Xenopus tropicalis: one gene and its partner. The protein of the gene in region 2 purifies or fractionates together with the protein of the main gene of each other region. This does not show direct contact. Links are inferred from orthologs where the notes say so. Each region holds a gene or a part of one and is shown on either strand. Other genes may lie near its edges.

The links.
Region 1: the proteins of atp1a1 (region 2) and hadhb fractionate together in Homo sapiens (co-fractionation; 3 studies listed by BioGRID, with this or other methods). This does not show direct contact. The link is inferred for Xenopus tropicalis from reciprocal best matches to the Homo sapiens genes ATP1A1 and HADHB.

Annotation. Positions count from the first base shown.
Region 1 is NC_030681.2:154,403,111-154,413,665, reverse strand, and holds part of hadhb (trifunctional enzyme subunit beta, mitochondrial), read right to left. Parts: intron 9,687-10,555; 5' UTR 9,679-9,686; coding exon 9,624-9,678; intron 8,932-9,623; coding exon 8,890-8,931; intron 8,194-8,889; coding exon 8,094-8,193; intron 6,889-8,093; coding exon 6,844-6,888; intron 6,432-6,843; coding exon 6,332-6,431; intron 6,222-6,331; coding exon 6,134-6,221; intron 5,931-6,133; coding exon 5,743-5,930; intron 5,176-5,742; coding exon 4,995-5,175; intron 4,861-4,994; coding exon 4,739-4,860; intron 3,596-4,738; coding exon 3,516-3,595; intron 3,427-3,515; coding exon 3,379-3,426; intron 3,004-3,378; coding exon 2,916-3,003; intron 2,052-2,915; coding exon 1,977-2,051; intron 1,269-1,976; coding exon 1,104-1,268; intron 253-1,103; coding exon 217-252; 3' UTR 1-216. UniProt on the Homo sapiens protein: Mitochondrial trifunctional enzyme catalyzes the last three of the four reactions of the mitochondrial beta-oxidation pathway.
Region 2 is NC_030678.2:1,068,186-1,078,840, forward strand, and holds the start of atp1a1 (sodium/potassium-transporting ATPase subunit alpha-1), read right to left. Parts: upstream 6,324-10,655; 5' UTR 6,286-6,323; coding exon 6,274-6,285; intron 5,255-6,273; exon of another isoform or gene 4,223-5,254; intron 4,177-4,222; exon of another isoform or gene 1-4,176. UniProt on the Homo sapiens protein: This is the catalytic component of the active enzyme, which catalyzes the hydrolysis of ATP coupled with the exchange of sodium and potassium ions across the plasma membrane.

The DNA of each region.
Region 1 (10,555 bases), on a different chromosome or scaffold from region 2:
CTGGAGAGCTCAGCACTAAGCTTGCACAATGGGTCGTTCCAAACTGGGACGTACCAAGTGCTCTGGAAAACCAATTACTCATTCCAATCACAGACAAGGCAACTAGAAAATATTTACAGTGCTGCGACATTCTTGGCGACGGGGAGGGGACCTTCTCAGTTAATTAGTGCAGGAAACTGGCGTCAGCCATAACGAGTCCGATGGGTTTGTGTCACGTTACTGGGGGTAAAGTTCCACGATCATCCCGTGTCCCTGCAGCACAGAGAGGGTTTGGTTACACATTGATCACAACAAAATGAAGATTAATATAAAAATGTCCAATTTTGTTTAGGGGTGCACTGGCATCCGGCTGAACCCCGAATCCGTCCTGAAAGATTCAGCCGAATACGGAACCAAATTCTTTGTTGTATCTAACAAAGGTGTTCACCTTTGGGTTAACTTTCATTATGATGTAGAGAGGGATATTCTGAGACAATTCGCAATTGGTCTTTGTTTTTAATTTGTAGTTTTTTAGTTATTTTATTTTCAGCTATCTGGTTGCTAGGGTCCAAGGTACCTTAGCAACCAGGGAGTGGTTTGGATGAGAGACTGATATATGAATAGGGGAGGGGCTGAATAGAAAAAGTTACAAAAAGTAACAATAACAATAAAACTGGAGCCTCACAGATTGGCCCAGATTTGTGGGGAGGCCATAAAGGCCCGGGCCTAGGGCAGCATAAATGCACATCCAGGGAAGGACGCGAATGGTGGCGGCCTCGGGCACCACAACTGTTTGAAGTAGGCGGCAAATAATTAAAAAACTATAACAAATAAATAAGAACCAATTGGAAAGTTGCTAAGAGTTAGCCAATTTTATGACATACTAACAGCGTAAAGGTGAACCGCCCCTTTAAAGAGCTTTTTTTTAACTTTATGTAATGAAAAGACATGTGATTTTAAGAATTTTGATTCAGTTTGGCCTGGAACATGGATCTGGGCGAATCTGAATCCTTCTGGATCCGGTGCATCCCTAGTTCTGTTACATAAGGCCATTCAGCAAGGCCGGATCTACTTATTTATAAGAGCACAGATTCCTATAGGAAATGGCTTTAGCTGTACTGTACCTGCCCCCCTGCCGCACACGCTGCCACAAGGCCGTATTGCCCTCCGTCCTTCTTCAGCCTGTGGGCAGCAGCCATGACCAGCCGGCAACCTGTGGCTCCAAACGGGTGTCCCAGCGACAGCGAGCCCCCCCACATGTTAAACTTGTCCAGAGCAGGGGCTCCAACCTGTAAGAGATGCCCCAAGAGGGTATCAGTAAGGGGAGGGTAAGAGGGCATCAGTAAGGGGAGGGTAAGAGGGCATCAGTAAGGGGAGGGTAAGTGGGCATCAGTAAGGGGAGGGTAAGTGGGTCTCAGTAAGGGGAGGGTAAGTGGGTCTCAGTAAGGGGAGGGTAAGTGGGTCTCAGTAAGGCGAGGGTAAGTGGGTCTCAGTAAGGCGAGGGTAAGTGGGTCTCAGTAAGGGGAGGGTAAGTGGGTCTCAGTAAGGGGAGGGTAAGTGGGTCTCAGTAAGGGGAGGGTAAGAGGGCATCAGTAAGGGGAGGGTAAGTGGGTCTCAGTAAGGGGAGGGTAAGTGGGTCTCAGTAAGGGGAGGGTAAGAGGGCATCAGTAAGGGGAGGGTAAGTGGGTCTCAGTAAGGGGAGGGTAAGTGGGTCTCAGTAAGGCGAGGGTAAGTGGGTCTCAGTAAGGGGAGGGTAAGTGGGTCTCAGTAAGGGGAGGGTAAGTGGGTCTCAGTAAGGGGAGGGTAAGTGGGTCTCAGTAAGGGGAGGGTAAGAGGGCATCAGTAAGGGGAGGGTAAGAGGGCATCAGTAAGGGGAGGGTAAGAGGGTATCAGTAAGGGGAGGGTAAGAGGGTATTTTGATTATAAAATAAAATAACTTTCTGTGATGGATCTCACTGAGCTCAGAACTGACAGGGAACAAATATGGAACTACTTACCTTTGCCTTTCGCCCCATGTAATTCTGTGCAAACCAGTCAGAATCCATGGCTTTCAGATTAGACAGGATCTGGCCCTGTGGGACAAAGGGATTGGTTACATATAGTACTAAGCAAAATTCAGCAGAAATAGCTCATAGCCTGTACAGAGAGATACCATAAAAACTATGGCACATAGGGATTCCCCTGTACTAAGCACAATTCAGCAGGAACAGCCCCCTAAGTTTGCCCATAGCCTGTACAGAGAGATACCATAAAACTATGGCACATAGGGATTCCCCTGTACTAAGCACAATTCAGCAGGAACAGCCCCCTAAGTTTGCTCATAGCCTGTACAGAGAGATACCATAAAACTATGGCACATAGGGATTCCCCTGTACTAAGCACAATTCAGCAGGAATAGTCCCCTAAGTTTGCCCATAGCCTGTACAGAGAGATACCATAAAACTATGGCACATAGGGGGCTGTTCCTGCTGAATTGTGCTTAGTACAGGGGAATCCCTATGTGCCATAGTTTTATGGTATCTCTCTGTACAGGCTATGAGCAAACTTAGGGGGCTGTTCCTGCTGAATTGTGCTTAGTACAGGGGAATCCCTAAGTTTGCCCATAGCCTGTACAGAGAGATACCATAAAACTATGGCACATAGGGATTCCCCTGTACTAAGCACAATTCAGCAGGAACAGCCCCCTAAGTTTGCCACCAGTAACCACCACCCCTCTGTTTTGTGCCACCCTGAATAATATTATGAAGGTGACCGAGGTGCGTGTAGATGACTCCATTCCTCAGGGGGCACCACACAGTGGATCAGTTCAAGTATGATCCAACTACTGGTCTAAGGGTTAAATGTAAGGATCTCCTTGATTTGGACCACCGCTGTATGTTGCCAAATTAAATATCTGCCAATTTTGGCTACAAGTTTGAACCAATGGACTTGCTTACCGCAAATGCTTCATGGAACTCAAAGGCATCAATGTCAGCGAGAGTCAGTCCTGCCCTTTCCAGTACTTTGGGGGTAGCGTATGTGGGGCTGGAACGGGAAAGGCAGTCAGTGTGATAGGGTTTAAGCACAGTGTTCATTCATTGGCTGATGAGGCCTAGCATGTATGTGTGCCTTGGCTTGTTTGTGTGCACTGTGAATCCTATGATCCCAGGGGGCGGCCCTTAGTACATAAAATGACAGTTTCCTATTTAGGATTACCCAATGGCACATACTGCTAAACAAGTATATTTATATGAAAATGGGTTATTTAGATGAAGCAGGGTTTTACATATGAGCCGTTTATAAATATATTTTTATAGCGACCTACACTGTTTGGGGGTATAATACCAAGAAGCTCTATTTCCATTAATGGAGCTGCACAAACAAACAGAATGAAGGTCTCTGGATATTAGCAGTACATACCCGAGCAGAAGCTGATCCTTGGGATCTTGAGACACATAAACAAAGTCCCTGTAAAAGACAAAAAACAAACCCCACACACTTAATTCCTTTTCTAAAATAAACAAGAGAAGCCAGCAGTGAAAGCAAAATGCTCTTACCGAAGGTAGGCCTTAGGCTTGTATCCCATGGCCAGGGCTTTCTCCTCCGACATGATCAGCACGGCAGAGGCACCGTCCGTCTGAAGCACAATAAAGCCATTAACTGACTGGGAAGTCCCAGTAGCACATTAGCGCTCTCTGCAGGAAGTGACAGTAATACCAGGTCCCAAGATCCTCAATTGGAGCAACAAGTGTATCCTAAGGTTTTGCTACCATTTCACTTTTAGCTCTGTGAGCCATAACCTCTTGCCCTGTATTACTCAGTACCTGCCAGTTAATCTGTGGTGCAAGAGTCTGATTATTTTCACACAGGTACGGATTCCTGCAGATTCCCTTGTCTGTACTCTAACAGAACACTGTACAGACTAAACTATGCTCCTATTTCATTTCTAAAGGTGCATATTACGTATACTAGAGTTTTATTAACTAAGAAAATCTATTAACGAGATGAGGGGGAAAAGCTGCCAATTAAGACCGACTTGGCAGCTTATCTCCCTGTGTATGTGCCCTCCGACAGGTCTCCCCCTGATCAATATCAGCCCAAAAATTGGCCAGATGTTGATTGGACAGGCTTGATTTTTCATTGGATCAGGGACTGCATCCCCTCGCTCCGACGTTCCCTATTTCCTTCATTCAAAGGTGAGCCAAATGAGCAAATCTTACTGTATGGCCACCTTAAAGTGATACTGACACTAAAAATCATCTTTTCAACTGCATAAACAGTCCCCTATGGGTCAGTTGATTTTGTAAGTAATTGTTACTTAAAGACCGTAAAACCTGACTGTTTGGCCAACCTGACTGTCCCTTCTCAGCCTGTCAGTTACAGCTTCTAATGCTAACGGATTCCTGCTGAACAAATATGGCCGTCCCCTCATAGAGGAACATGGGGGATCAGATAGGGAATGTAAAATCATTGGGCAAATACTTTTGTGGCAAAGTTATAAAAAGCATAAAGGCCCCACATCGTAAAAAATGGTTGAATTTCTGGTGTTAGTATCTCTTTAAGACAATTTGAGTCTGGGGATTATATGAAACCTGACTCTGTGCCTATATGTTGGAGTGGAACTTGCATATCGGTACAAATAAAATACCACACATCTTCTGGACTCCATTTGAACCATTTTGTTAGTCTCTTATTATTTTTTCACACTTATGTTGTAGAAATTGTAGAGATCATTATATACTACAAGAAACATATCGTATCGCCAAGGGAGAAAACTTACCAGAAATGAAGAGTTGGCAGCAGTGACGGAACCATGAGGCTTAATAAAGGCAGGCTTCAGCTTCGCCATCTGCTCCATAGAGGATGGACGGATTCCATTATCCTTATCAACCGTTTGTTTGCCTGTTGATAAAAACAACTGTGACCCAAACTATGCAGAGAATTCATTCTAGAAAGTTTAGAATGAATTTCCAGGGGGCCCTTGTGTTTCCCTCCCTAGCAGCCAGAGGAAAGGAAGCGAGAGAATGAGGTGCTACCTGGTACTTTATAGGGGATAACGTCAGACAACAGCCCAGCGTCCTGCGCCTTCTTGGCCAGTGTGTGAGAGCGCAGAGCGTATTCATCTTGCTCCACCCGAGACACAGAAAATGCTGCGGCGAGTCTGTCTGCTGAATGTCCCATGGTCTCACTGGTGGAGAACTCAGCCACTGCTGGGAGCTATGGGGGTTAAAAAAAACAGTCATTAATCATTCTCCCTAGGCATTCACCAGCTTATTTAGTGCAATAAGTCATTAGTTTTTGGGTTCGGCCAAACCCCCGAATCCATTCTAAGGGATTCAGACAAATACTGAACCAAAACCTATTTTGACCGTCGATCGGGTCAAATCCAAACCCTGCCAAGAAAGGCCGAATACCAAACCAAATCCTGGATTTGGTGCATCCCTCGTTGAAAGGCCCTGTGTGCATTCTCTTACAAAGATCGGCTGGGGAAAGTTTTTTTCACCTAACGTTAAAATGTATTTTCTATATCTCAATCTCTCTCCATTAAAAAGACAAAGATAATATACAACCATGTTCAACATAAGTAGAGAATGTGCTGAAAATTCACTGTGCTTAATGTTTTGATTAAAAATGTCAAACAATATAGAACAAAGACATTGGAAGTATTTGCTCTATACACTTGATCACATCTTTGTGGTTTTTCATAGCAACTATAGGAGGAGGAGGAGGAGGAGGAGAAGGTACCTTTCCCAAACAAACCCTGACTGCCCTGTATATTGCTACCTCTGGTGCAAAATAGTTAGGCCGGATTCCAGATATCACAGAAAGCCTCTGGCCCAATGTTTTGGCCTTATTAAGGCTCAGCATGGTCTTCCTCATCTTCCTGCTGTGACGAATAGGGACATCAGACATGAACTCCACCCCACCAGCAACAACCACATCACACTGACCCGATGCAATCAGCCCAACACCTGTGGAAAAGAAATATAAATGAGTGAATGAGATGATCCTCACTGGGAAAAGCATAAAAAGCTCCAGTGAGCAGGGTCCTCTTTAGCTCCTGTGCCAAATAGTATTTGTATGATTGAGATCAACACCCTACTGCACAGTGCTGTGAAATACTGGACATTTATAAATGTGAGAAATGTTTTACAGTTCAGAGTTGAAGCCTTACCTGTAGTCATTGCCTGATTGGAAGAGATGCAGGCCATCGTGACTGTGTGCGCTGGAGTTTTATCTGAAAAACCAGCCCCCAGAGCAGCCTAGGAAACAAAATACATATTTTTTAATTTTTGAATGAGGGTTATAGACAAAAAAAAAAGACAAAGTAGAGCAGATGTTCCCATTAACAGAAGGACAGAGCAATACCTACCTCTCGTGCAACATTACTGGTTTTAACTTCCTGGATTACAGTTCCATACACTATGTAATCAACCACCTCCCGGGGAACGTTGGTTCTCTGCAGCAATCCCCTAATTGGCAAAGAGAAATTAAGAAAGACAGTATTCCCTGCACCATGCTCATTGCACTTGTGCTCTAAAGGACTAGTTCCACCCTATTTCTCTCCAGAACTCTGTCTTCCAAGCGAACAACTGACGCTCTAATGACTCTCAGACACGATTCTCACATCCACCACTGGAGGGCAGCAATTCTCCCAATCCAACCTAATGCCCTTCCACCGTGTGGAAAAGTTTCCATTACAAAGTAAATGATCATGCTGAACTTTGGCCTTTGCTAATCACAAACCATTTCATAATATACATGTAAAACATTGTTCTGTTTGGATTATGTTTCCTGAGAGCACAACAGTTTGGTGTGTGGGTTGTCATGTAAAAAATTGACACCACAAAGTATTTATAAGTATTTATCGAGTACAAAACTTACTGCAGTGCTGTCCTGGCCAAGTCATGAGGCATCAGATCTGCATATCTGCAAGAGGAAAATATATCTATAATTAGCCAGCTCTAGGTGACTGATTCACATGAAGAAAATGCTACTAGATATGTATATGTAGGCTTTGTGTTATACACATGGCAGCTCTGCAAGGCCCCATATTTCACTGTAGACCCCAGGGCTGAACATTAAAGGGACACTGCCATGATATTTATGGGGCACTTTTTATTTCTAAATGACACTGTTACACAGCAAATAATTCCCTCTGCCATTTAACCTTTTATTCTTGAACCAACTAATGTATTTGTAGCTGTAATATTGGTGTGTAGGCGCCATCTCAGTGCCTTGTGCCTGAGTCTGAGCTTTCAGCCAGCGCTACACATTAGAACTGCTTTCAGCTAACCTATTGTTTCTCCTACTCCCATGTAACTGGAGGAGTCCCAAGCCGGACTTGGATTTCTTACTATTGAGTGCTATTCTGATACCTACTGGGAGCTGCTATCTTGCTCCCTTCCCATTGTTCTACTGATCGGCTGCTGGGGGTGAGGGGGGGGGGGGGGGGGGAGATCACTCCAACTTGCAGTGCAGCAGTAAAGTGTGCCTGAGTCTGAGCTTTCAGCCAGCGCTACACATTAGAACTGCTTTCAGCTAACCTATTGTTTCTCCTACTCCCATGTAACTGGAGGAGTCCCAAGCCGGACTTGGATTTCTTACTATTGAGTGCTATTCTGATACCTACTGGGAGCTGCTATCTTGCTCCCTTCCCATTGTTCTGCTGATCGGCTGCTGGGGGTGAGGGGGGGGGATATCACTCCAACTTGCAGCGCAGCAGTAAAGTGTGCCTGAGTCTGAGCTTTCAGCCAGCGCTACACATTAGAACTGCTTTCAGCTAACCTATTGTTTCTCCTACTCCCATGTAACTGGAGGAGTCCCAAGCCGGACTTGGATTTCTTACTACTGAGTGCTATTCTAATGCCATGGGAAAAACAGATTACAATGCAGCTCCATTAACTGATGGGTTGTGAAAAAAAAAAAAAAAAACAACCATGTTTTCCCATGACAGTGTTGCTTTAAGATCATCCTAATGTGGTCTGTGATTTGGTCCGTGGTTGTTTGGCAACATGGCAAAATTACTTTTGTGCAGTGTGAGCAACAATTATGTTAAATGTAGTTGTTAGAGTGCTAAGCCGCTCTGATGCCTGAATGATATAAACACTAACTCCAAGAAAACAAACACTTACGTGGTCCCTGAGAGCAAAAAAGGAGTCCGCACTCCATCCACAATCACCACATTTTTAACTCCAGGCTTGGCCAAGGTCTTCTTAGTTTTGGCCTGCACAGCTAAAATACAGAAAGGGATTATACAATGGAATGCAAAATTAAATTGTATATTTCAATACTTTTTAAATGTAATGCTGAGCAAAGGGAGCTGCAAAGCTTCACATAAATGGCCTCTATACGGCTGCACTGCATTCTGGGCGCACAGCATCACTGTAAGAATTGTATTCCGTGTTGGCTGTCGTAGTTTTTTTTATCACTATGTTTGTATTTATACTGACAATACTGCCGGACTCGGCACAGCTCAGATGAATAGAAACTCAGAGCACAGACTCTTAAAGCTGCCATACACGGGCCAATTTTAGCTGCCGATATCGGGCCCCTAGGACCTTATCAGCCCGTGTATGGGCACTAAAGACGGGCCTGCCCGATCAACATCTGGCCTTTAATTGGCCAGATATCGATCGGGCAGGTTTAAAAATCAGTCGGATCGGGGGCTGCATAGGCTCGTTGATGTGGTCCCTGAACCAACCGACCTATACCAGTCATTCTAATTCGATCGTTTGGCCCCAGGGACAAATGGCCGAATTAGCCCGATATCGCCCACCCGTAGGTGGGGATATCGGGAGAAGATCCACACCCTTGGCGAGGTATGTCCACCTTATGTGGAATGATGCTTCCTAATAGACACTGAATTCATATCCAAGAAACCAAATTCTCCTACCAGCAATGCCCATGTGTGGCTTCTGTCTATATTACCTGGGGCCTGGAGATGGGAAGAGCAGCTAATGGATCTGGAAGCTGGAAAAGAAGCACAAAATAAAAGGGGTGACATACAGGTGATTATAAAATAAAGGATAATAGCATAGTGCACTTAGATTGAAGTGTAAATGGTCACAAAATATCAGAAAATACTTTGTACAGTTGCTTGACAAAAACATTTTCTGCCATTTTGCTACTCTGTAATCATTGAAAATCACTAAGTTGAAAAAAGTGATAAAAGGAACACCCTTAATATGTTAAAATCAATTTATATCAGGGGCCCCCAACCTTTCTTACTCCTGGGCCACAGTCAAATGTAAAAAGACTTGGGGAGCAACACAAGCACCATAAAAGTTCATGGAGGAGCCAAATAAGGGCTGTGATTGGCTATTAGGGGCCTCTATACACCCTATCAGCTTACAGGGGCTTTATTTGGTAGGAAATCTTGTTTTTATTCAACCAAAACTTGCCCCCAAGTCAGGAATTCAAAAATAACTCCCTGGTTTGGGGGCACTGAGAGCAACATCCAAGGGATTGGGGAGCAACATGTTCCCCCCGAGCCACTGGTTGGGGATCGCTGATTTATATCATATTATATAATTTATATCCCCTTTAAGAGATTACAGAGAAGGTGAAACTAATAGGTGAGCGTCACTCCTTCGCTATAAATCAGCTTTGCCTTACATTACACATTACTGGTTTGTAGAAAAAGCAAAACAAATGAGACTTACAGAGTTTACAAGCCGTGGGGAGGCTTCTGATGGTCTGTCTCAGCATGCACGCCATTGTGGAACCTACAGGGAAAGGAACATCATTCAGCCACTTCTTAATTCTTCTCACTTATGTATATAGCATGTAGAATGTACAAAGGAGCAACACATGAGGAAGTGCAGGCAGACTCTTGAAAGGTTTTAGGGTGAAGACACACGGAGCTACTAGTAGAAGCTACTAAAACAGACAATGCTGATCATTTACTGATAACTGTCTCTATTGGTGTTTAGCAGAGGCAATTCTCAGTATTGTCTATGGCAGGGGATTCTCTGGAGGTTAGTAGCTGTGACAAGTAGCTCTGTGTGTCTTCGCCATAAATGTACAATTGATATCCAAACGTTTGTTGGAAGAAGTCTACAATCTGACCGTGTATGGGCAGCATAAGGGAGGAAAGTAGTGCAAATTCACATAGTCAGTGGGAGGTTGGATAGGGGCAAATGAGCCCAGGTAGGGATGTTAGTGACACAGCGAGTAATAAGGCCAGTGTGTATGGGCCCTCACTTACTCAAGCTCTATTTATACTCTCACTCAATAAATACTGCTCATTCCCTGATAATGATCGTGGGGCCTTGGCACTATTTCTGCACAGAAGCCCGACAGAGATTTATTACATATATTCTATACCTGTGTATGTTATATATTCCTGTAATCTTACTAACTTGCTCTTTGTACTGAGAGTTGCTTAGTAGATTACACACACATTCACCCTCTCCTCATATGTAAACACGCTCAATACAGCTAAATATAAAGACAGCTCGATATCTCAATATTATCCTTTTAATTGCCATGAACCCAATAGCCCCCACCTAGCCCCCATCATAATCCACCCCCTGCATATATGTGTGTGTGTGTGTGTGTGTATGTATATATATATATATATATACACACACAC
Region 2 (10,655 bases):
TGTGGTGTCAGGTGCTGTGGGAACAATGAGCCATAGATAAAAACAAAGCAGATCCACAGAAACCTGAGCTGGGAAAAGTGCAGGGTAACACAGGGGATTATGGGAGGAAGGGGCAGCCGGGATGGGGGGGTATTATCTGATATACAGGGCCCCAGAACATTATAAATACTCCCTGCTATAAACTGCATGGCACATTAACCCCTTCTCGCCTGGCCTCTCTCCTTCCCTAGGATAAAGAGACTAGGGTTTCCCACACTGAAACCTGAGCCATGGGGGGGGGGGGGGGAGCTGAGGTGTCTATAAATGTCACAGTGAGACAGCAGCGGCAGGACAGGAAGGGGTTAATGAGTCAGCGAGGGCCCAGCCCCTCCCACAGGCAGTTGCACAATGCGGCAGTCAGTGGGTCTGGGAGGCACTTTCCGTAAGGCAGAGCGGCACCCCCCCCCACCCCTAATATGCTGCACCCCCCCTGTCAGATATAGGGGGGACTCCAGAGGCAAAGCCTCCGTATCCCAGCATGCAATGAGAGAACAGGGGGGACCCCAGAAGCAAAGCTTCCGTATCCCAGCATGCAATGAGAGAACAGGGGGGCCCCCAGGAGCAAAGCTTCCGTATCCCAGCATGCAATGAGAGAACAGGGGGGCCCCCAGAAGCAAAGCTTCCGTATCCCAGCATGCAATGAGAGAACAGGGGGACCGCCAGAAGCAAAGCTTCCGTATCCCAGCATGCAATGAGAGAACAGGGGGGCCCCCAGGAGCAAAGCTTCCGTATCCGAGCATGCAATGAGAGAACAGGGGGACCACCAGAAGCAAAGCTTCCGTATCCCAGCATGCAATGAGAGAACAGGGGGGCCCCCAGAAGCAAAGCTTCCGTATCCCAGCATGCAATGAGAGAACAGGGGGACCGCCAGAAGCAAAGCTTCCGTATCCCAGCATGCAATGAGAGAACAGGGGGGCCCCCAGAAGCAAAGCTTCCGTATCCCAGCATGCAATGAGAGAACAGGGGGGCCCCCAGAAGCAAAGCTTCCGTATCCCAGCATGCAATGAGAGAACAGGGGGGCCCCCAGGAGCAAAGCTTCCGTATCCCAGCATGCAATACTACTTATACTTATATTGGGGAGTGTGCAGAATACACAGTAAGTACCATCTGCACAGATAGTCGGGGGGGGGTGCAATACGGGCCCCTTCCCACACAACAGGTGCTCAAACAAGCGGCACAGCATTATGGGAAGGAGCTGGAACATGATCCCAGTGAATACTGGTGCTCTAGAACAGCCCCCTAAGGGCCACCCACCCTTCCCACACTGTCATGCCGAGGCACCCGGGGGTGGGGGGACCTACAGCTGAATAAAGAGACAAACCCTCCCCCCTCCCATGGGATATAGGGCCACTGACAGCCGTAGCCCAACACAACAGCCCTAGCAACAGCAAGCCATAAAGATACCCAGTAGCCTAATCATTAACTGCCGGCTCTATAAACCCCTGCACTGGGGATCATAATCTGACCCCTACTGATGCCCCAGCTCTAGGGAGGAGAATGCCCACCCCCCAGGTATGGGGCTTCCCTAAGATTAATGGGCCAGCCCCGGCCTACATTCACGGCAGCACTTACAGAGCCGAGCTGGCCCCCTGGGACGGTACAGTAGCCGCAGTGACCCCCCCCAGTTAGTTATTGATGGGCTCAGCGCTGCTCTCATTACATCTCCAAGCTAAGGGGGGGGGGGGGGGGGGCTGTATCCAATTAGATCTTGTGTGTAACCTAGAAAAACTGCTGAGGCTGCACAACTCCCAGCAACCCTCCAGATTGGAACACCGGGAAGAACAAGGCCATGCACGTAGTGCCCATTTTCCCAGAAGCCCCTGGGAGTTTAATAAGGCGCCAGTTACCAGGGGCACAGGATGCAGCACCAGTATTCCCAGTAACCCTCCCAATGAAGGCACAGGCCCCAGTGCCAACGACCTTGCCCAAGGACAGACGGATCAGTGACATCACGTCTAGGGCATCATGGGGCAAGGTGCTGCCAGGGTGGCAAGTTCCATCAAGCCTCTTTCCCAAGGAGGTGGCAGCAGGACTGGCACCCAGTAGGGGCAGCTACAAGCCAAGGGAGGAGTGCCAGGGCACAGGGAGTCCCAGCCAGCCAATAGGCACACAGGGATGTGCCATGGCAGAACATGGCCCCGGGGCAGGCAGATGCCAGGGACTTTATACTGGGTGTTCAGGCGGAAGGATCACACCTACATTGCACAATGTTCTCTATGGCAGGGTTTAACCCCCGATTATTACATCAAATACCCCGGGGGGGGGTGAAAGTCCAGTGAGTAATTGCCCTCCCACGGTCCGGAGTCCCTTTATGGGCATGAATATCCCCACAGCAGGCAAGGGATTATCTAATGCCACTTATCAGCCGACACCCAGCATTCATACCGACCAACTGCATAGAGAACATGCAGGAGTACAAATGTGACGGCAATGAAGAGGTTACGCCCCCTCCCTCCCCCCCCCAGGAATGCTGGGACAGTAGTAACCTTGACGTGCCAGCCTGGGCTTACGCCAGTCCCAGGAACAATGGTACCTCTCAGGCTCAGTAACTGGATCTGCCCCCCCCACCTCCCTTCTGCCCCAGTCCAAGGAAACAGAACCCGGCTAGGGGGGTACAAATCCTCCCCCCTACTGCCCTCTAAACACAGCGGCCAATTAGCTTCCCGGGCACCAAGCTGCCAGCGCCAGAGTAGATGGCAAGGGACTGCGCCAAGATGCTCCTGCAGGGAATACACAGAAGATTCCCAGCACCCCCCCCCCCCCAGTCTATAAATAACCCTCTCACCAGCAGAGTGACAGATATACAGTGTCTGGGGGGGGGGGTCACATTCTCAGGCATTAACCCCTGGCAGGCTGGATACAAGTGCTGAAGCGGTGCCAACACTGGCAATGTGTGCCAACCAGGGGGTCTGACTAATAGGCACACACTACCAGCAAGGGGGCTAATTCCTTCTGCCCCCCCCCCCACCCTTTCCACTCTGCCCTGACCCATATCATATACAACTGCCCTTAAATCTATCTGCCACCATCTTCCTTCTACAAGACCAGCAAGTGGCGGCTGGCAGTGCCAGGGCAGAGGGCACAGCAAGTGTGCCAGGGCAGCAGTCAGTGCTGCAGTAATGAAGGGAGGGAGGCCGGCGCTGCTGGGTGAAGCAGACCCTGGCACTGCCACATTGAACACAAGGAAGCTGGCTGCCATGCCGCATCCTCACAGCTTGGGGCAAAGCCAGCAGTGCCTGCCAAGTGCCGGGGTGCGCCAGCTGTATGCCCTGCCCATAATGCAGCCCCTGACTCCCCGCAGTCCTACTGACAACTCCACCAAGTGCCGCCGGCTGAACCCTAACTGTCTGGGCAGGGCACCCCCATAGGGAGCTGGGCACGGAGGGATTAACCCTTTCATGCACCAAGAGCACATCCCCCTCACACTGCTGGGTAGATCTCCCCAAGTAAGTTTGGATCATATGCATCATAGCCGCTATATGCACACAGGGGGGATGCAGTTTCCTTTGCACATCTCACTTCCTGTCTCAGATAAAGGGAGACTCCTATAAAGGAATTGGGGTTCCATGGGAGGCTGCACGGGCAATAAGGTCCCATCATGTTTGGGAATGTGCAGCAATGGGAGAACTGGTATTTCTGCACTGAGATTCCCAACAAGCAACTGCCCCGGGGCATCAATTCTTACCCCTCCCCCAGGAAAACAGAATGGAGTGTAATATAATTGGCCTCTGGAGAGGAGGGTGTCTGCCCACAACATGGCCACAAACTACTGGCCTTCTCCTAGGTAACACAGCAACTGTGTGCAAGCTCTTGGGACCAGACACCCAGTAGGAGTCACTCCCGGCTCCAATGAGCATTGCAGGAATCCCAGGGCCCAGTGTCCAGCTATGAGAATGGGGCAAAAATGGGGCAGGAATGGGGCAGGAACGGGGCAGGGAACAAATCTACATTATGCCAAGTTACCCCCATCTACACCCCCCCAGGGAAAGGGCACTCTCACTGCCCCATAACACCCACCTCCCATTAACAACAGCACAATGTGCCCCCCATACACATACGCAGGCACCCCACACTGGCACCACAAGGGGCAATTCCTACATATACAGCCGGAGCCCAGTGTATCAGTAACGCCCCACCCTGCAGTAATGCCAGTTATACCCCCACCCTGCAGTAATGCCCCAACCTGCAGTAATGCCAGTTATACCCCCACCCTGCAGTAATGCCCCAACCTGCAGTAATGCCAGATATACCCCCACCCTGCAGTAATGCCAGATATACCCCCACCCTGCAGTAATGCCGCACCGTGCCCTGTACCCATGTAACCTACCCGCACCGTGCCCTGTACCCATGTAACCTACCCGCACCGTGCCCTGTACCCATGTAACCTACCCACACCGTGCCCTGTACCCATGTAACCTACCCGCACCGTGCCCTGTAGCCATGTAACCTACCCACACCGTGCCCTGTACCCATGTAACCTACCCGCACCGTGCCCTGTACCCATGTAACCTACCCGCACCGTGCCCTGTACCCATGTAACCTACCCGCACCGTGCCCTGTACCCATGTAACCTACCCGCACCGTGCCCTGTACCCATGTAACCTACCCGCACCGTGCCCTGTACCCATGTAACCTACCCACACCGTGCCCTGTACCCATGTAACCTACCCACACCGTGCCCTGTACCCATGTAACCTACCCACACCGTGCCCTGTACCCATGTAACCTACCCACACCGTGCCCTGTACCCATGTAACCTACCCGCACCGTGCCCTGTACCCATGTAACCTACCCGCACCGTGCCCTGTACCCATGTAACCTACCCGCACCGTGCCCTGTACCCATGTAACCTACCCGCACCGTGCCCTGTACCCATGTAACCTACCCGCACCGTGCCCTGTACCCATGTAACCTACCCGCACCGAGCCCTGTACCCATGTAACCTACCCGCACATCTCATACATTGCTCCTGTGCCCCCACAGTCTCTCCCATTTTGATGCTGTCTGTCTTTACACTGCTGTCTCTCCCATGTAGGCTACTGTCACCCCCCCCCCCCCCCCCATAAGCACTGTTTCTTCCATACACCCCATATCTATACTGCTACCTGTCCCATACTGCCCCCTCACACACTACTGTCTCTTCCAGAGGCCCCCCATATACCCTGTATCTTCCCTAACCCCCCCATATACCCTGTCTCTTCCCTACCCCCCCATATACCCTGTCTCTTCCCTACCCCCCATATATACCCTGTCTCTTCCCTACCCCCCCCATATACCCTGTCTCTTCCCTACCCCCCCCATATACCGTCTCTTCCCTACCCCCCCATATACCGTCTCTTCCCTACCCCCCCATATACCGTCTCTTCCCTACCCCCCCATATATACCCTGTCTCTTCCCTACCCCCCCCCATATATACCCTGTCTCTTCCCTACCCCCCCCATATATACCCTGTCTCTTCCCTACCCCCCCCATATACCCTGTCTCTTCCCTACCCCCCCATATACCCTGTCTCTTCCCTACCCCCCCCCCATATACCCCGTCTCTTCCCTACCCCCCCATATACCCTGTCTCTTCCCTACCCCCCCCCATATACCCTGTCTCTTCCCTACCCCCCCCCATATACCCTGTCTCTTCCCTACCCCCCCCATATACCCTGTCTCTTCCCTACCCCCCCCCCATATACCCCGTCTCTTCCCTACCCCCCATATACCCTGTCTCTTCCCTACCCCCCCCCATATACCCTGTCTCTTCCCTACCCCCCCCATATACCCTGTCTCTTCCCTACCCCCCCCCATATACCCTGTCTCTCCCTACCCCCCCCATATACCCTGTCTCTTCCCTACCCCCCCATATATACCCTGTCTCTTCCCTTCCCCCCCCATATACCCTGTCTCTTCCCTACCCCCCCCCATATACCCTGTCTCTTCCCTACCCCCCCCCCATATATACCCTGTCTCTTCCCTACCCCCCCATTTACACTGCTGTCTCCCCTAACGCAATACTGTCTCTTCCCATATTCACTGTCTAACACACTCGCTGCTGTCTCTGTCACCCCCCCATACTCACTGCTGTCTCTCCCACACTGCTGTCTCTCCCACACTGCTGTCTCTCCCACACTGCTGTCTCTCCCACACTGCTGTCTCTCCCACACTGCTGTCTCTCCCACACTGCTGTCTCTCCCACACTATTCACACAGAAGAGCCAGAGGCCATGTTGCCCAAGTCCCAGCTCACCCCGTATCCCATGGTGGCGGTCTGTTCTTCGTTTCTCGGTAGAGCTCGCCTCCCTCCGCCTGACACTGAGGTCGCAACGCGCCCGGCTCCAGTATTTATACCTCCGCAGTCCCACCGACGTCACCGCCTTCGGACGTCACCGTTACTAGTGACAACAGTGCCAGCCCCTCTAGAGCCAGCCCCGCCCACCAAGAATAAGATGGAGAACCTTGCGGTGCGTTCAGGGGGATATGCGTGTCACGTGTCCGGGGCGGGGCTGAGCGTGTAGCAGGCAGGTCACATGGGGGAGCTTGAGAGGAAAGATTCCATTATGGCGCCCCTTTAGCTCGGATTCCCATCGCTTCAGCTATCAGTCTAATTAATGGAAACCTTTCCTTCTCTCTGCGGCCCAGTGATGTACATATAGTAGCAACTGGGTGTAATGAGGTGTGGGACCCTAGAATCCCTCATTGTAATACATGGATTCACTACTACATTTTATATATAAATCTCCTTAATATATATATCTATCTATCTATCTATATACACACCACTTGTGTACAGGGAGTCTAATCCCCACACAGTACAACGGGGCCATTTCCCCAGCGTGTCGGCCCCACTCTGTTCCCCACACAGTACAACGGGGCCATTTCCCCAGCGTGTCGGCCCCACTCTGTTCCCCACACAGTACAACGGGGCCATTTCCCCAGCGTGTCGGCCCCACTCTGTTCCCCACACAGTACAACGGGGCCATTTCCCCAGCGTGTCGGCCCCACTCTGTTCCCCACACAGTACAACGGGGCCATTTCCCCAGCGTGTCGGCCCCACTCTGTTCCCCACACAGTACAACGGGGCCATTTCCCCAGCGTGTCGGCCCCACTCTGTTCCCCGCACAGTACAACGGGGCCATTTCCCCAGCGTATCGGCCCCACTCTGTTCCCCACACAGTACAACGGGGCCATTTCCCCAGCGTGTCGGCCCCACTCTGTTCCCCACAAAGTACAACGGGGCCATTTCCCCAGCGTGCCAGCCCCACTCTGTTCCCCACACAGTACAACGGGGCCATTTCCCCAGCGTGTCGGCCCCACTCTGTTCCCCGCACAGTACAACGGGGCCATTTCCCCAGCGTGTCGGCCCCACTCTGTTCCCCACACAGTACAACGGGGCCATTTCCCCAGCGTGTCGGCCCCACTCTGTTCCCCGCACAGTACAACGGGGCCATTTCCCCAGCGTGTCGGCCCCACTCTGTTCCCCACACAGTACAACGGGGCCATTTCCCCAGCGTGTCGGCCCCACTCTGTTCCCCACACAGTACAACGGGGCCATTTCCCCAGCGTGTCGGCCCCACTCTGTTCCCCACACAGTACAACGGGGCCATTTCCCCAGCGTGTCGGCCCCACTCTGTTCCCCGCACAGTACAACGGGGCCATTTCCCCAGCGTATCGGCCCCACTCTGTTCCCCACACAGTACAACGGGGCCATTTCCCCAGCGTGTCGGCCCCACTCTGTTCCCCACACAGTACAACGGGGCCATTTCCCCAGCGTGTCGGCCCCACTCTGTTCCCCACACAGTACAACGGGGCCATTTCCCCAGCGTGTCGGCCCCACTCTGTTCCCCACACAGTACAACGGGGCCATTTCCCCAGCGTGTCGGCCCCACTCTGTTCCCCACACAGTACAACGGGGCCATTTCCCCAGCGTGTCAGCCCCACTCTGTTCCCCACACAGTACAACGGGGCCATTTCCCCAGCGTGTCGGCCCCACTCTGTTCCCCACACAGTACAACGGGGCCATTTCCCCAGCGTGTCGGCCCCACTCTGTTCCCCACACAGTACAACGGGGCCATTTCCCCAGCGTGTCAGCCCCACTCTGTTCCCCACACAGTACAACGGGGCCATTTCCCCAGCGTGTCGGCCCCACTCTGTTCCCCACACAGTACAACGGGGCCATTTCCCCAGCGTGTCAGCCCCACTCTGTTCCCCACACAGTACAACGGGGCCATTTCCCCAGCGTGTCGGCCCCACTCTGTTCCCCACACAGTACAACGGGGCCATTTCCCCAGCGTGTCGGCCCCACTCTGTTCCCCACACAGTACAACGGGGCCATTTCCCCAGCGTATCGGCCCCACTCTGTTCCCCACACAGTACAACGGGGCCATTTCCCCAGCGTATCGGCCCCACTCTGTTCCCCACACAGTACAACGGGGCCATTTCCCCAGCGTATCGGCCCCGCTCTGTTCCCCACACAGTACAACGGGGCCATTTCCCCAGCGTGTCGGCCCCACTCTGTTCCCCACACAGTACAACGGGGCCATTTCCCCAGCGTGTCGGCCCCACTCTGTTCCCCACACAGTACAACGGGGCCATTTCCCCAGCGTGTCGGCCCCACTCTGTTCCCCACACAGTACAACGGGGCCATTTCCCCAGCGTGTCGGCCCCACTCTGTTCCCCACACAGTACAACGGGGCCATTTCCCCAGCGTGTCAGCCCCACTCTGTTCCCCACACAGTACAACGGGGCCATTTCCCCAGCGTGTCGGCCCCACTCTGTTCCCCACACAGTACAACGGGGCCATTTCCCCAGCGTATCGGCCCCACTCTGTTCCCCACACAGTACAACGGGGCCATTTCCCCAGCGTGTCGGCCCCACTCTGTTCCCCACACAGTACAACGGGGCCATTTCCCCAGCGTGTCGGCCCCACTCTGTTCCCCACACAGTACAACGGGGCCATTTCCCCAGCGTGTCGGCCCCACTCTGTTCCCCACACAGTACAACGGGGCCATTTCCCCAGCGTGTCGGCCCCACTCTGTTCCCCACACAGTACAACGGGGCCATTTCCCCAGCGTGTCGGCCCCACTCTGTTCCCCACACAGTACAACGGGGCCATTTCCCCAGCGTGTCGGCCCCACTCTGTTCCCCACACAGTACAACGGGGCCATTTCCCCAGCGTATCGGCCCCACTCTGTTCCCCACACAGTACAACGGGGCCATTTCCCCAGCGTGTCGGCCCCACTCTGTTCCCCACACAGTACAACGGGGCCATTTCCCCAGCGTATCGGCCCCACTCTGTTCCCCACACAGTACAACGGGGCCATTTCCCCAGCGTGTCGGCCCCACTCTGTTCCCCACACAGTACAACGGGGCCATTTCCCCAGCGTGTCGGCCCCACTCTGTTCCCCACACAGTACAACGGGGCCATTTCCCCAGCGTGTCAGCCCCACTCTGTTCCCCACACAGTACAACGGGGCCATTTCCCCAGCGTGTCGGCCCCACTCTGTTCCCCACACAGTACAACGGGGCCATTTCCCCAGCGTGTCGGCCCCACTCTGTTCCCCACACAGTACAACGGGGCCATTTCCCCAGCGTGTCGGCCCCACTCTGTTCCCCACACAGTACAACGGGGCCATTTCCCCAGCGTATCGGCCCCACTCTGTTCCCCACACAGTACAACGGGGCCATTTCCCCAGCGTATCGGCCCCACTCTGTTCCCCACACAGTACAACGGGGCCATTTCCCCAGCGTATCGGCCCCGCTCTGTTCCCCACACAGTACAACGGGGCCATTTCCCCAGCGTGTCGGCCCCACTCTGTTCCCCACACAGTACAACGGGGCCATTTCCCCAGCGTGTCGGCCCCACTCTGTTCCCCACACAGTACAACGGGGCCATTTCCCCAGCGTGTCGGCCCCACTCTGTTCCCCACACAGTACAACGGGGCCATTTCCCCAGCGTGTCGGCCCCACTCTGTTCCCCACACAGTACAACGGGGCCATTTCCCCAGCGTGTCGGCCCCACTCTGTTCCCCACACAGTACAACGGGGCCATTTCCCCAGCGTGTCGGCCCCACTCTGTTCCCCACACAGTACAACGGGGCCATTTCCCCAGCGTGTCGGCCCCACTCTGTTCCCCACACAGTACAACGGGGCCATTTCCCCAGCGTATCGGCCCCACTCTGTTCCCCACACAGTACAACGGGGCCATTTCCCCAGCGTATCGGCCCCACTCTGTTCCCCACACAGTACAACGGGGCCATTTCCCCAGCGTGTCAGCCCCACTCTGTTCCCCACAAAGTACAACGGGGCCATTTCCCCAGCGTATCGGCCCCACTCTGTTCCCCACACAGTACAACGGGGCCATTTCCCCAGTGTGTCAGCCCCACTCTGTTCCCCACACAGTACAACGGAGCCATTTCCCCAGCGTGTCGGCCCCACTCTGTTCCCCACAAAGTACAACGGGGCCATTTCCCCAGCGTATCGGCCCCACTCTGTTCCCCACACAGTACAACGGAGCCATTTCCCCAGCGTGTCGGCCCCACTCTGTTCCCCACAAAGTACAACGGGGCCATTTCCCCAGCGTATCGGCCCCACTCTGTTCCCCACACAGTACAACGGGGCCATTTCCCCAGC